Lonchura striata: one gene and its partner. The protein of the gene in region 2 purifies or fractionates together with the protein of the main gene of each other region. This does not show direct contact. Links are inferred from orthologs where the notes say so. Each region holds a gene or a part of one and is shown on either strand. Other genes may lie near its edges.

The links. The genes of interacting proteins can lie anywhere in the genome.
Region 1: the proteins of SAP30 (region 2) and MTA2 purify together in Homo sapiens (affinity purification with mass spectrometry; 3 studies listed by BioGRID, with this or other methods). This does not show direct contact. The link is inferred for Lonchura striata from reciprocal best matches to the Homo sapiens genes SAP30 and MTA2.

The regions. Positions count from the first base shown.
Region 1 is NC_134638.1:417,164-425,181, reverse strand, and holds the start of MTA2 (metastasis-associated protein MTA2), read left to right. Parts: upstream 1-4,977; 5' UTR 4,978-5,115; coding exon 5,116-5,143; intron 5,144-6,144; coding exon 6,145-6,212; intron 6,213-6,307; coding exon 6,308-6,401; intron 6,402-6,957; coding exon 6,958-7,075; intron 7,076-7,183; coding exon 7,184-7,247; intron 7,248-7,339; coding exon 7,340-7,457; intron 7,458-7,537; coding exon 7,538-7,640; intron 7,641-7,719; coding exon 7,720-7,819; intron 7,820-8,018. UniProt on the Homo sapiens protein: May function as a transcriptional coregulator. Acts as a component of the histone deacetylase NuRD complex which participates in the remodeling of chromatin.
Region 2 is NC_134606.1:36,160,085-36,167,184, forward strand, and holds the start of SAP30 (histone deacetylase complex subunit SAP30), read right to left. Parts: upstream 3,049-7,100; coding exon 2,743-3,048; intron 1,473-2,742; coding exon 1,350-1,472; intron 1-1,349. UniProt on the Homo sapiens protein: Involved in the functional recruitment of the Sin3-histone deacetylase complex (HDAC) to a specific subset of N-CoR corepressor complexes. Capable of transcription repression by N-CoR.

The sequences.
Region 1 (8,018 bases), on a different chromosome or scaffold from region 2:
AGGAACTGGAGCCTGGAGCTGGAGGTGGGCGGCCACCCCCAAAACTGGGGAGGGGGACACCCCGGAGGGGTCAGGATTGAGGTTTCGGGGGCTTAGGGTCTGTAATGGGGGTACAGAAGGGCTGGGGAGGGACCAGGAGCACGCCCTGGCTGGAGCTGGGGCTGGGGCTGGGTGAAGACCCCTGAAAGTGGGGAGGGGGCGTTTGGGGATGGGTCAGGAGCACGGTTTGTGGGGTCAGGGGGTGCTCTGGGGACAAGGGACGAGGAGCACACCCGGGCTGGGGACCCCCGAATTGGGGCTGGGGGTGGTTTGGGGTGCGGGGGGTGGCGGCAGCCCCGGTTTGGGGCTCTGGGGGGGTCCCGGGGACCCCCCGTGACCCCTCCCCACCCCCAGGACACCGGGCTCTGCGCCGACTTCCACCCCGGGGGACACGTGGTGGCCGTGGGGCTGCTGAGCGGGCGGTGAGTGACCGGGACACCGGGGGACACGGGGGGACACCGGGGGACACGGGGGGACATGGGGACAGGAGGGGACACAGGGGGACACGGGGGGACATGGGGGGACATGGAAGGACACAAGGACATGGGGGGACAAGGGGACACGGGGGGAGATGGGGACACAGGGGAACAGTGCCCATGGTCCCCCTGTCACCCCCATGTCCCCGTGTCCCCCCATGTCCCCGTGTCCCCCCCCATGTCCCCGTGTCCCCCCCATGTCCCCCTGTCACCCCCATGTCCCCGTGTCCCCCCCTGTCCTGTGTCCCCCCATGTCCCCGTGTCCCCCTGTGTCCCCCCATGTCCCCCTGTCCCCCCCATGTCCCCGTGTCCCCCCATGTCCCCGTGTCCCCCCATGTCCCCGTGTCCCCCTGTGTCCCCCCATGTCCCCCTGTCCCCCCCATGTCCCCGTGTCCCCCCATGTCCCGTGTCCCCCCCATGTCCCCGTGTCCCCCCCATGTCCCCGTGTCCCCCCATGTCCCCCCCATGTCCCCGTGTCCCCCCATGTCCCCGTGTCCCCCCCATGTCCCCGTGTCCCCCCGTGTCCCCCCATGTCCCGTGTCCCCCCCATGTCCCCGTGTCCCCCCATGTCCCATGTCCCCCCCATGTCCCCGTGTCCCCCCATGTCCCCCTGTCGCCCCCATGTCCCGTGTCCCCCCATGTCCCCCTGTCCCCCCCATGTCCCCGTGTCCCCCCGTGTCCCATGTCCCGTGTCCCCCCATGTCCCGTGTCCCCCCATGTCCCCGTGTCCCCGTCCCGCAGGTGGCTGGTGCTGGACACGGGCACGCGGCAGCTCCTGGCCGGGGGCTCGGACGGGAACGAGCAGCTCTCGGTGGTTCGCTTCTCACCGGGTGAGCCCCGCGTCCCCTGCCAGCCCAAACTGTCCCCAAACTGTCCTTGGCCTGTCCCTGATCCCAAACTGTCCCCAGACTGTCCCCAGATTGTCCCTGACCCCTCCCTGTCCCAAAATTGTCCTAAAACTGTCTCTGGCCTGTCCCTGATCCCTCCCTGTCCCCAGAATGTCCCCAAACTGTCCCTGATCCCTCCCTGTCCCCAAACTATCCCAAATCCCCCCCCAGTGTGTGGAACCCCCCCCCAAACCCTCCCAGGTCATGGGGCCCCCCCAGACTTGTGTTCCCCCAAACCCCCCAAATCCGTGTCCCCCCAAACTCCCCCAAATCCATGTTCCCCCCAAACCCGTGTCCCCCCAAATCCCCCCAAACCCTGTGTCCCCCCAAACCCGTGTCCCCCCCAAGCCCCCCCAAACCCTGTGTCCCCCCCAAACCCCCTGCCCCCCCAAACCCCGTGTCCCCCCAAACCCCGTGTCCCCCCAAACCCCGTGTCCCCCCCAACCCCGTGTCCCCCCCAAACCCCGTGTCCCCCCCAAACCCCGTGTCCCCCCAAACCCCATGCCCCCCAAACCCCGTGTCCCCCCAAACCCCGTGTCCCCCCCAAACCCCGTGTCCCCCCCAAAGCCCATGCCCCCCCAAACCCCGTGTCCCCCCCAAACCCCGTGTCCCCCCCAAACCCGCGTCCCCCCCGTTGCAGACGGGACCTTCCTGGCCATCGGCTCCCACGACAATTTCATCTACATCTACAGCGTGGCCGAGGGCGGCCGCAAGTTCAGCCGCTTCGGCCGCTGCACCGTGAGCTGGGGGGCTGGCGGGGGCTGGGGGGGGGTCCCCAAACCCCCCCGGACCCCCAGCGACCCCCCCCACCCCCCGCTGCCCCCAGGGTCACTCGAGTTTCATCACCCACCTGGACTGGTCCAAGGACGGGCGGTTCATCATGTCCAACTCAGGGGATTATGAGATCCTCTACTGTGAGTCTGGGGGCTTGGGGGGCTCCCCCTGGGGCTGACGAGACCCCCATGACCCTGCCGGGACCCTCCTGACCCTGCCGGGACCCCCAGAGCTGGGGGGAACCCCCTGGCCCTGCCAGGACCTTCCTGAACCTTCCTGGCCCTTCCAGATCTTTCCAGGACCCTTCTGCCCCTGCCAGGACCTCCAAAGCTGGGGGGAACCCCCTGACCCCACCGGGACCCCCCAGACTTTGGGGTCTCACTGTCCCCCTCCCCTGGTTCTTTTTGGGGGGGTGTCATTTTCCCTCCCCAGATTTTGGGGGTCTCTTTTCCCTTCCCCTCCCCAGCTTTTGGGGGGGCTTTCCCTTTTCCCTCCCTCCTCCTCCTCCCAAATTTTGGGTGCCTTTCACTACCCCCCACCCCAAATTTCGGGGTGAACTCTCCAAGCCCCCCCCAGCCCAGATTTTGGGGGTCTCTCCCCCCTCCAGGGGACGTGGCCGGGGGCTGCAAATTGCTGCGGAACCGCTTCGAGAGCCGGGACCGGGAATGGGCCTCCTACACCTGCGTGCTGGGCTTCCACGTCTTCGGTGGGTCTGGGGGCTCGGGGGGTCTCAGGGGGGGTTTGGGGGGGTTCCCCATCTCCCCAAGTGGTTCAGGGGGTGCTGTCAGGAGTATTTGGGTTTCTTTTAGGGTCCCCCAGCTCTCCGAACCCTCGGGGTGGTTCTGGCAGAGTATTTGGGGTTGTTTTGGGGTGATCCCCAGTTCCCCGAGAGCTTTGGGTGTTTCTGACAGGGTATTTGGGGTTTTTTTGGAGTCCCCCAGCTCCCTGAGAGCTTCAGAAGGTTCTAATGGTTTTTTTTTTTTTGGGGTCCCCCAGTTCCCTGAGCCCTTTGGGTACTTCTAACGGGATATTTGGGGGGTTTTTTTTGGGTTGCCCAGCTCCCCAAGCCCTTGTGGTGTTTCTAGCGGGGTATTTGTGGATGTTTTTGGGGTCCCCAGCTCCCCGAGAGCTTTGCGTGTTTCTAGAGGGGTATTTGGGGGTTTTTGGGGTCCCCCTGACCCCCGACATCGGCGCAGGGGTGTGGCCGGACGGCTCGGACGGCACCGACATCAACTCGCTGTGCCGCTCGCACCACGAGCGCGTGGTGGCCGTGGCCGACGACTTCTGCAAGGTTCACCTGTTCCAGTACCCCTGTGCCCGGGCCAAGGTGGGCACCGGGCTCTGGGGGGGTTTCGGGGGGGCTGGGGAAGGGTCCCAGAGTCCAGTTTGGGGGTCCCAGACCCCAGTTTGGGGGGTCAGGAGGGTCCAGACTCACTGCCGGTGGGTTGGCGATCCCAACCCCTGGACTGGCTGTTCTGGGGGGATTTGGGGGGGGGTCCAAATCCCAGATTTTTGGGCTCGGGAGAGTCCCAGACCCCAATTTGAGAGGCTGGGGGGGGTCCAGACCACAAATTTTTGGGCTCAGGAAGGTCCCATACCCCAAATTTGGGGGCTCCAAACCCACTGGGTGTTTTGGGGGGTCCCACACCCCAATTTAGGGGTATGGGGGGGGGGTCCAGACCCCAATTTGAGGGGTTGTGGGGGTGGTTCCAGACCCCAAATTTTTGGGCTCGGGAGGGTCCCAGACCCCAATTTGAGGGGATGAGGGGATCGGGGTGAGGGGTGGGGGTCCCACACCCCAATTTAGGGGTATGGGGGGGGTCCAGACCCCAATGTGAGGGGTCGTGGGGTGGTTCCAGACCCCAAATTTTTGGGCTCGGGAGGGTCCCAGACCCCAATTTGAGGGGATCGGGGTGGGGGGTCCCACACCCCAATTTAGGGGTATGGGGGGGGGTCCAGACCCCAATTTGAGGGGTCGTGGGGTGGTTCCAGACCCCAAATTTTTGGGCTCGGGAGGGTCCCAGACCCCAGTTTGAGGGGATCGGGGTGGGGGGTCCCACACCCCAATTTAGGGGTATGGGGGGGGGGGTCAGACCCCAATTTCGGGGGTCCCCCCCCGTTTGCGGGGGGGGGGGGGGGGCTGTATCCACGTGACCCCGCAGTCACGTGTCGCCCCCTCCCTCACAGGCTCCCAGTCACGTGTACGGCGGGCACGGCAGCCACGTGACCAACGTGCGCTTCACGCACGACGACGGACACCTGGTGTCGCTGGGCGGGAAGGACACCAGCGTCTTCCAGTGGCGGGTGCTGCCCGGGGACAGCGCCTGAGCCCCGCGCCTTCCTCCTCCTCCTCCTCCTCGCTGCTTCCTCTTCCCCCTTTCCCCCCTTCCTGGGACCAAAGAGCGGCTCGGGGTTTGGTGGAAAGCTTTCCCCCCCCGCCGCGTTTTCGCGCTGCACTGTGAGAGGCGTCAATAAAAGCCTTGGGGTCAGGGTAGGACCCCGCCGTTTCCTCCGGGATCGCCGCCGCTTCCCGGAAGCGCCGCGGGTTCTTCCTCCGTGCCCGCCCTCGGCGCCTTTCCGGTTCTGGCGGAACTCGCCGAGCGCGTTACGGAAAGAGCCGAGGTTGAGGCGAGGAGTGCCGGAGAGAGCCGAGGCCAAGCCGAGGCTTTCCCGAAAAGCGCCGAGGTCTCTCCGGAAGCGCCCGAGGCGGCGCCGAACCCGTGCCGGAGGTGCCCGAACGCATCCGGCAATACCCGAGTCTCTCCGGAGTTGCCCAAACCCTCTCCGGAGGTGCCCGAGAGGTCTTGCCGGAGGTTGCCGAACGTCTCCGGAGGTGCCCGAAGGGCTCCGAACCGGCCGTGCCGGCGCGGAGGCGGCGGGAGCGGCGATGAAGCGCGGCCGGGGCCGGGCCCGGGGGTAGCGCGGCCGAGCGAGCGGCCATGGCGGCCAACATGTACCGCGTCGGCGGTGAGCGGGCCGGGGGCCGCGGGCAGGGACCTCCAGGAGGGGCTCTGGGGGGGGCCCTGAGGGGATTTGGGGGTCCCGGAAAGCGGAGTGTGGGGGGGGGTTTGGGGGGGTCCGTGAGGGGATTTTGGGGGGGGGGGGGGTCCGTGAGGTAAGGGGGAGGCGTGAGGGGAGTGGGAAAAGGGCGGGGGGGGTTGTCTGTGAGGGGATTTGGGGGTTCCGTGAGGCGCGGGAAGGGTCGTGAGGGGAATTGGGGGGGGGTCCGTGAGGGGTCCTGGAAAGGGGCAAGCGTGAGGGGAGTGGGGGGTGGTCAGTGAGGGGATTTGGGGGTTCCGGAAAGGGGGAGAGGGTCTTGTGAGGAAATTTGGGGGTCCCGGAAACAGCGGGGGTGTCTTGTGAGGCAATAGGCGGTGGGGGGGGAGGTCCCGTGCGGGAATTTGGAGGGAGAGGATTTAGGGGCGGGGGGGGTCCTGAAGAGGAAAGGGTCCCGTGAGGGGGTTAAGGAGGTCCCTGAGGGGATTTGGGGTGTTCGTGAGGGAACTTGGGAGTCTGTGAGGAAAAGGAGGTGCCAGAAATGGGGAGGGTTCTTTAAGGGGTGTGCTCCTTTGGGACCCCAAATTCTGAGGCGTGGAGGTGGGAGACGGCTCCCCCCCCCAAAAAAAAAAAAAAAAAAAAAATCTAAAGAAAAAAGGGGGGTGGTCTCTGATGAGAAGGGAACCCGAGATTTTTTTGGGGGGTGTCCTCCACCCTCATTTGTGAGGGAAGGTCTGTGCCAGGGGGGGACCTCTGGTCTGTAGTGGGGGGCTGAGGGGGGGAAATGAGGGGGGGTCCTGTGGGGTAACAAACCCCGTTCCCATGAGGGGAACATCTGGCTGCAAAAACCCCCTGGATTTTGGGGATTTGGGTGGAACTAAGAACAATCCTGACAAGTTTGAGAAAAAGGATTTTTGGGGGGTGGGGCTGCCCTCGTGACCCCCCAATTTTTGCTCCCTATTTTTCCCCAGATTACGTCTACTTCGAGAACTCCTCCAGCAACCCCTACCTGGTGCGGCGCATCGAGGAGCTCAACAAGGTGAGACCCCTGCCCTGTTCCTCAGGGGGGTCTCCAAGCCTGGGGAGGGGGTCCCCAAGCCCAGGGGACCCCACTGACCCCCTGTGCCCCCCCAGACGGCCAATGGCAACGTGGAGGCCAAGGTGGTTTGTCTGTTCCGACGGCGTGACATCTCCAGCAGCCTCAACAGCCTGGCTGACAGCAATGCCCGTGAGTGGGGGGCTTTTGGGGGGTTTTGGGGAGGTTTTGGGGATTTGGGGGGCAGCCTTAAAGGACAGGCCAAGGGTAATGCCGGTGGGTGGGGGATTTGAGGGGTTTTTAGGGGGTTTATAGGGCGGTCTGTGGCTCATATCACAATGGGGTGCTCCCAGAATTTGGGGAGAACTGGTTTGACATTATTGGGGTAATTTAGGGGTGCTGCAGAGGGGTCTGTGACCTCTCCCAAAGGGGCGCCCCAAATTTGAGGGGGGGTTGGAGCTGCTCGGTCTCTCTCCACCTCTCTTGGGCTGAATTTTGGGGGGGTTTTGCCAATTTTGGGGCGGGGAATTACAGGTAAAGGACTGACCCCTTTGAACCATCAAACTGGGGGGGTCCTGCCCTTCCTGGGGGGGGTCTCTCCCCTCCCACGGCCCCTCCCCCTCCCTCCCCTCCCCCTCTTCGGGGCTGTTGCCAAAAGCCCAGAGGGGGTTTTGGGAGAACAATGGGCCCTCCCAGCTGGATTTTGGGGGAGGAACACCCCGGTGTGACCCCCCCGCGGCCCCCCCAGGCGAGTTTGAGGAGGAGTCGAAGCAGCCGCCGATGACGGAGCAGCAGCGGCACCAGCTCAAGCACCGGGAGCTGTTCCTGTCTCGCCAGTTCGAGTCCCTCCCGGCCACCCACATCCGGTACCGGGGGCAGAAACGGCTCTGGGGGGGTGGGAAAACCCTCTGGGGGGGCTTCCCCTGCGTGGGGAGGGGTTTTGGGGTGACCCTCTCCCCAAATTTCCCCTACAGGGGGAAGTGCAGCGTGACGCTGCTGAACGAGACCGACATCCTGGGGCAGTACCTGGAGAAGGAGGTGAGTTCTGTGTGCCCCAAAATGGGTCTGGGGGGGGATTTTGGGGGTCTCCCCACCCTGCTGAGCCCCCCCAATGTGCCCCCTCCCCACAGGATTGCTTCTTCTACTCGCTGGTCTTCGACCCCGTGCAGAAAACGCTGCTGGCAGACCAGGGCGAGATCAGGGTGGGCTGCAAGTACCAAGCTGAGATCCCCGAGCGTCTGGCCGAAGGTTTGGGGGGTTCGGGGGGGCTCTGGGGGGTGCAGGATGGGGGGGGGGTCATCCTGACAGCCCCCCCAAACCTCCCCCAGGTGAGTCGGACAACCGGAACCAACAGAAGATGGAGATGAAGGTGTGGGACCCCGACAACCCCCTGACGGACCGGCAGATCGACCAGTTCCTGGTGGTGGCTCGGTGAGGGGGGATCGGGGGGGGTCGGTGGGGGGTCAGGGGGATTGGGGGGACCCTGCTGACCCCCCCATGTCCCCCCCAGGGCCGTGGGGACGTTTGCCCGGGCGCTGGACTGCAGCAGCTCCATCCGCCAGCCCAGCCTGCACATGAGCGCGGCCGCAGCCTCCCGGGACATCACCCTGGTGAGGGGGGACCCCAGCCCCCTGGGCACCCCAAAACCTCCCTCAGAACCCTCAGTTCCCACTGGGAGACCCCCAAACCTCTCTAGAACCTCCTCATTTCTCACTGGGAGACCCCAAAACTTCTTCTGAACTCCTCATGTCCTGTTGGGACATCCAAAGATTTTTTTATATCTCACATATCTCAACTGAGACACCCTAA
Region 2 (7,100 bases):
GATACTTTTTTCTTTAGCAAAATGGGTAACAATTGAAAATAAAGGTGGTCAAGAGCAAGCAAGTATCTAAGGCACACAGTAATTACAAGGAAAGAACAGACTGCCGTTGTCCAAACAGCCAGCTGACGCTTCTCAAAAACAGTTCCCAGTTTTCTCTTTTGTAATAATACTGTTTAAAAAAAAAGGCTTGTTTTCTTGTTCTGAAGATATCCATCAGTTGTGACATGTTTTATAATCCTGGCATAAGAAAACAAAACAGGCTCCCAGGAGAGCTGCAATTACACAGTGTCAGAAAGCTACCTGAAGTCACTCACAGCACTAGCTTTAGACAGAACTTTCCAAGAAACAATCACAGATATTTAACAGACAGACAACACCACTCAGCATCAAACTACTTTCAATCTCCTAAAATCCTCTTAGACAGAACATTCAGACTGGAGCCTCGTGCCTGAAGGCACAGATTCCTGCACAAACTTTACTCACTTACTTGCTGTTATCTGCAGATGCTGACCATAAGGATGCCATTACATTAACACTTACAGAGCGATTTCTGAAGAATGTTTTAACAATCCCTCTCAGAAAGAACCACGTAGGCATAATAAGCCTCTGCTCAAAATTAACACATTGTGGAGCACCTGCTAAGCAACGTTGTAGCAAAAATAACCTAGAGCATGTGTAAGAAAAAGAGAGCCTTATGTTCAAGACCGACCCATTACACTATGAGAAAGGTTGAACGCTTTAGTTAATGGGTCAGATTTCACTGGTGTGCAGTGGAGAAAACAGGTTTAAAAGACACCGTATTTCTCCACTCCTTCATAGCAGAGCTCTCCAAATGGTTCTTCCCCCCACAGTGGGCAGAAACAAAGCTACCATCATTAAACTCTCAGTCTTTAAAGTGACTAAGGCAATGGAGCAATTGCCTAGAACTACCTGCAACACATTTAGCACAAAAGGGACAGGACAGAGAAGCATTTATATCCTAAGCACTCTGTGCAACTCCCTTCAGCTTGTAAGCTTCAGCAAAAGGTAAGAGTTCGATGGCATGTGGCAAAACAGTAAGAAGGAGGAAAACAGTAGATTTCTCAGAGAAATCTTAAAACAGTAGATTTTTGAGAGAAGCATCAGACACTTAGAGACTCTTTCATTGTCCTATGCACCATTTAATCAGAAAACACACCACAAAAATTCAGTTAAATTCCGTTATATTAAAAACAGGGCAAATCAAGAATCTTCTCTTTCCTACACGTAAGGCAAAGCTGCAGAAGTGGAAGAGTGGTATTGGTGCAGACTCAGTGTCATTAAGAAGCTTAAGACAATAACTTGAAAAAAAAACCCAACTGTTCAGCTACCTCTGGAGCATCGATGTCTTGCACTGGTGAGTCACCATCATCATCGCTGCCTTTCCTCTTTCTTCTATTTCTCACACTCTGAATTAGATTTTTGTGGAAGTCACAAATGTACAGATGTCTTGCCTACAAGAATAAAACGGTATCTTTCAATTAAACCCACGTAGTGTATCTCCCAGACTGAAGTGCACGTAGACAGACAACCCTTAAGCACTCACAGCCACATTAACTGGGCTGAGGGAGCTTTTCCACTGGTTTATTGTAAATGGAGAGCGAGCTGCGCTGCGGCTCCCCGCCACCGGCTGGGCCCCGAGCTCGCTGAAATGCTGCAATGGGCCGATGCAGCAGTGCCAGGCTGTGGAGCCACGCAGCACAGCCCTCCCTCCTTCCCTCCCTCCGGCCGCGCATCGCACCGCGGGGGCCGGGCGGCACGCTAACAAAAAACAAGCTCGCAGCTTTCTCTGCGGGGCTAAGAGACGGCTCTCGTTTCCCCAGCTATATCCTCCCCTCCTTGTTTTACTTCCGCTACCCGGCACGGTCACGCAACACACTTATTTTTACTTTCTTTCTTTTTAACAAGTTTCCCACTCGTGGGGCTCTGCACGCTTTGGGAGATCCGGGCGCTGCCAGCCCGGAACGCCCCGGTCCGCGTGCTTTCAGGGCGAACGGGAGCGCGGGGCAGCGTGGGGCACCGGGCTGCAGCGTGGGGCACCGGGCCGGGTCTCTCGGGGCGCACGCAGCCCCGGCCCGGGGCGCTCCCGCCGGCAGCTCCACGCTGCAGCCCGTCTCGCCCTTCCGCGGCACCCGGCGAGGCGGGCGCTCTCCGGGCTCCCGGGCGAAGCACCGCGCTGGAAGGCGGCCGGCCCCGGCCCGGCCCGGCCCGGCCGCGCGGGGCCCGATGGCTGCCGAGCGGGAGATAAAGCGGCACCGGAGACGTGCGGCGCTGCAACACGAGGCGGGGCGGCGAGCGCGGCCCTCGCCAGCAACACAAACTAGCGCGCCGGGAGCCATGCAGGCTCCGCTCCGCTCCGGCGGGCAGCGGCGCTTCCCGGCCACGCTTACCCCCGGCTCCGGCTACAGGGGGGCACACGCAGTCGATGCCCAGGCTCTTGGGGTACAGGGGACCTCAGGAGCAGGCAGGAAAGGCGGGCGCTGCCCCCCGCCCGGAGGGACTTTCAGGCAGCGCTCCTGCCGCGCCAGCCCAACTCGGCCGTGCTACGGAAAAGAGGTGGGAAGGGGGAACGAACGCTTCCCCGCCGCCACGCTCCCCTCCTTCCCCACCAAACTTGAGGAAAAGTCCCCCAGCCAGCTAAGACACAGATGCGGCGACCTACCGGCCGCTTTTGTCCGCCCGCCCCGCCGGCAGCCCTGGCGCGTCCTCCCCTCGCGGACTTACGCTCTTGTCCAGCTCGATCTTCACCTTCTTCTGTGAAATGCTCTTCTGGATGCGCTTGCTGAAGCTGGCGTTGCCGGCGGCGCGGCCGCATCGCTCCCCCTCCTCCCGCAGGCAGCACAGCTGCCCGGCCCCGGGGCCGCCCGCGCACCCGCCGCCCGCCGAGCCCGCGGCGGCGGCGGCCGGACCCAGCCCCGGCGGCGCCGGCGGCGGCGGCACCTCCACGGCGGAGCCCGCAGCGCCCACCGCCGCCGCGGCGGCGGGGTCTGCCCCGCGCTGGGTCACCTCCTCGGGGGCGAAGCCGTTCATGCCCGGCGCCACCGCCGCCGCCGGCGGGATCCCGCCCCGCACCAAACTTCCCCGGCGAGGCGCCGCGGCCCGGCGGGGGGCTCCCCCGCTCCCTGCCCGCCTCCCTTCGGCGGCGGCACCGGGGCGCAAGTCCGCCCTCGAGGGCGGTCAGCCCACGCGTCGCGGGAAGGACTCTCCCTGCCAGCAGCCGCCAGCCGAGCACCGCGACTACCGGAGCAGCGGCGGCAGAGCCCCGCGGGCCGCCCCACTTCCTCCTTCCCCCCCTGTCATGTGGAGACTCTTCAGCTGTTTCCTATGTAACAACAGCAACCTGCCGCCCCGCCCCGCCCGCCCGCCGCGCATGCCGGCTGCCGCGCGCGGCCCCACGGGAAGCGCAGTTCCTGCCCGGCCGCCGCCGCACCGCGCGGCGGGAGCGCGGCCGAGGCAGCGGCGGGGGCAGCATTCGCTGCCGCAGCCGCTTCTTTTTCCCGCGCCGCGCTCCGCTGCCTTTTCATCCCGTCTGCAGGCTGGGCCCGCTGCAAAGCCCCGTGCGTCAGTCTCTCTTTTTCCCCCTTCCCGCGCCTCCCCGGCGGCTCCGCCGTGGGATGTGGAAGGGCGGCCGCGGAGAGTGTCACGGGTCGGAGCTGCCGCCGGCACGACTGAGCTCGTACCCGCGCTCCTACCGACGCGGGCCCGGTGGCCTCCGCCGCCGGCTCGCTGTGCCGCAGCGGCTCCCCCCGTTCACTTGCTCTCGCTCTAGTGTTCTAGCCGAAGCCGGCACTGCTCCGGCTGTTGGTTCCGGATTGTCTGTCTCGTGCCTTCCCTCTCGACATTTCTGCCCTGCCTCGCTTCCTACTTTCCGCCTACTGTCGGCTACGGCTGGCAGCGGCTCCCGGAGAGGGCGGGCGGGCTCTGTCCGAGCGCTCCTGCCCCTCCGCCTGCGGGAGGCAGCTCCCCGGGAGCCGCCGCGCAGCCGCTGGCTCTGCGGCTCTCAGCAGAAAACAAACGGAGCTCCGGCCTTTGTTAGGGCTGATCTTACAACACACGTAGTCAGGGCTCCGTCCTGCGTTCCTGTAGCAAAGCCTTTTGAAGACAAAGGCGACGTACAGTGCGAGTTTCTAGTTTTGTCATTTAAAAAGACATTTTGTTAGTAAAGGTGACTGTAGCAACAGGAAAGCCTTGAGAATGCAGAATTATTTTCGCTAATGATGAACCAAGACCTTGCTGTGCACACGGCTGGGTAAAATAGACACTCTGTGAATACTTGACAAAAGCAGGTATTTTTAGTTTTGAGGCTTTACAAAGCTACACAAGAGATGCGTTGGCATTAAATCATTTAACAATTCAGCTGTTGACAGCAGAGTGGCAAAAGCAGCAAGCTCTGATCTACTGTCTTTTCAAGCACATTCAAAGGAGGCACAAGGAAGGGAGAGGTTTTGCTTTCCCTTTGAACTACCGCAGATATTCCTTTAAATCTCAGAAACGGCATTTGAGCTGAGCGTGCTCAAAGCGCAATGATTTAATCACTGAAATATTTGACCGTATCGCTTGCTGTGCGTTTCCAGCTTGAAGGAGTAGCAGGGAGGCTGGTGAATAATTCAAGGAGACACAGATCCTGCGTAAGTCAAAGTTCTGCGTGAGCCGAGAACGCGATTATAGAGCAGTTTCAGTTTGTGCTGCAGATGGCTCCTTAATCTGATTGCGTAACCGGGTATTAGAGAATAAGGGCTGGTCCCACTGTCGCAACCGAATGAAGGATACAGAAACTGAAGCTACCCTGAGCACAGGCACAGCAGCTCTCCGAGGCACGTTTCGGTGATTAGCGAGGTTCGGAATAGGAGGAGAGTTGGAAAAAATACTGAACTCTGCTTTGTTATCAGCCAAGCTGAAGACTAGGTTTAATTCCATGCTCTGCTGCTGAACAATCTCAGGCAGCAAAGGTTTGACTCACTTTTTTAGTTTCTTGTGATTTCAAACTTTTGAAATCTGTAGTAATATTAAGATAAAAAAGAACAAAACCCCCAATATCATAGCAGAAGCTAAAATCTGGGAAAAGTGGGACAAAGGTGAGTTCCAGGAATTCTTCAGTGAAAATCTGGGTCATGAATAGCAATTTCTAGACTCTTGGACTATGTCTTCTGAGGTCCCTTTTTATTTATTTATTTATTTGTTTGTTTTTAAAATTTCAGATGGATTTGACCTTACTATGAGCATAAAATATTATGACTGGCTCTGGCTGCTGTTGTTTGGTTTGATGGAAAGATCACGTGTGCATTTTAAATGTTTCTGATCCTCTTTGAGCAGTTAAAAGCCTGACTATGTTACCCAGACGTGCTTGCCAAGATGCTAATTTATAAGCGTAATTTCGAGTAAAGTAGTACCATAGTTTCATGATTAGGTCATGATAAGAGAGTCGTGGGACTTAGAAAGATGGTTCTGTTTCTGCTGTAAGCTGCTCGTTTTCGCACCTGTGCCCTGTGCCTCTTTGTGCCCATAAAAATATTGCTGTGGCTGCACAGCAAACTGTATTGGGTTACAACTAAGCTAGCAACAAGAAAAATTGTTTAGATTTAATCCTGACCTGTTTTACCACTCAGTTGCAAGATGCCCCAGCACCCGGGATGGTGCAGTAGAAGGGCAGCACTCTGACAGGGGATGACCACCTCATTTGGTATGAACGCCTGCTTACAGTAACAAAGAAATCATGTCACTTTTAATCTTGCATCACACGTGGGATGAAAAATACAAAGAACTGCAGCTACATGGGTTTATCAGAAAGTATGAAGCTTACTACAAAACAGATTTACAAACTTTCATGAAGCTTGGGATACATTAAATAAAAAGCAAAATCATTGTGGAGTATGTTGTCTAAAATTTAAGTTTTTTAATACAAACTCTAGTACTGGGTACTAAATAAAGCATGTATGGGGACATATTTTAAATAAGCATAAAAACATGCAGGATTGCAACCATATACTGATTAAACTTCAAAAATTAAAACAGTTCAAAGGAAACAGCAGCTCCAAACCAACTGCCCTGTACATGATGTGTCACTAGTACTTGCAGCAGAGCTGAGTAGTACAGAAGGTAGCAGTAATCTATATCCCTTGGGCCTACCAAGAACACAGCATGGATGACTTGTGACATGCAGAAAGAACAGGAGCTACAGCATCCCAAAAAGTCTGAATTCACAGCTCCCAGGCTCTGAAGTCAGCAGGACTCAGTGGCCCCTCCTGGCACTGAGGCAGGCCAAGCACATCTTTCTAAGTGGTGGAAGCCCAGCAGCTTGTTCTTCTCTGAGATGCCATATGTCCCAGCTCCTGTTAGCTTTTGACTGATGTGTTTTGTAATTTGAGAGAGAAGAATGATAATCAGATACATCACCTTGGATATATTGAAAGCACATTGCAAATTACTAGTAATTGCATTACTAGTAATCAATCCTGGAAGATAAATGTTGCTCTTGCCACTTTGTATGCATTTCCATGGCATAAAGTTCAGCTGGGGAGGATGATTCTCTTCCCCAGCAGGTACCTTTCACTTGAAGTCCAAGAGTACATTAGTGCACTTGTGTTCAGCACCTGAAATTATCCTCTTAGCAAAAGGAATAATAAGGAAAACTATTGGTAGGCATTTTTTCTCAGCAAATACACATTTTATTTGTTATATATTGTAACTACTTCAGTGAAAAAAAATTCTTTTAAAACATTTGAAAAATTCTGCAAATTCCACCACTCACTCTGGTCATTTTAATAAAAAAGCAACCTAATCTATAAGCAAGCATTCATGGGCTGTGATATAAAGAACAGTGGCCAAATCTTCCTTACCAGAAATAAGTGCTATTAATTTTATCTTTCCTTTTACTTTTTTCTGATTTTTTTAATACCTCATTTTCCTTTCCCACTCCAGCACCACCTAACCTCCTACTGCTTGTTGCTCTGCTTCCAATTTATTGTCCAAATTTGTTAAAGCATAGACCCAAAGCTTAGGAATATTGGAACTTGCCTACAGTTTTTTTTTTTTTTTTTACTTTATATGTTTTAGGCTAGGATAGTTAAAATACAAATTCAGAT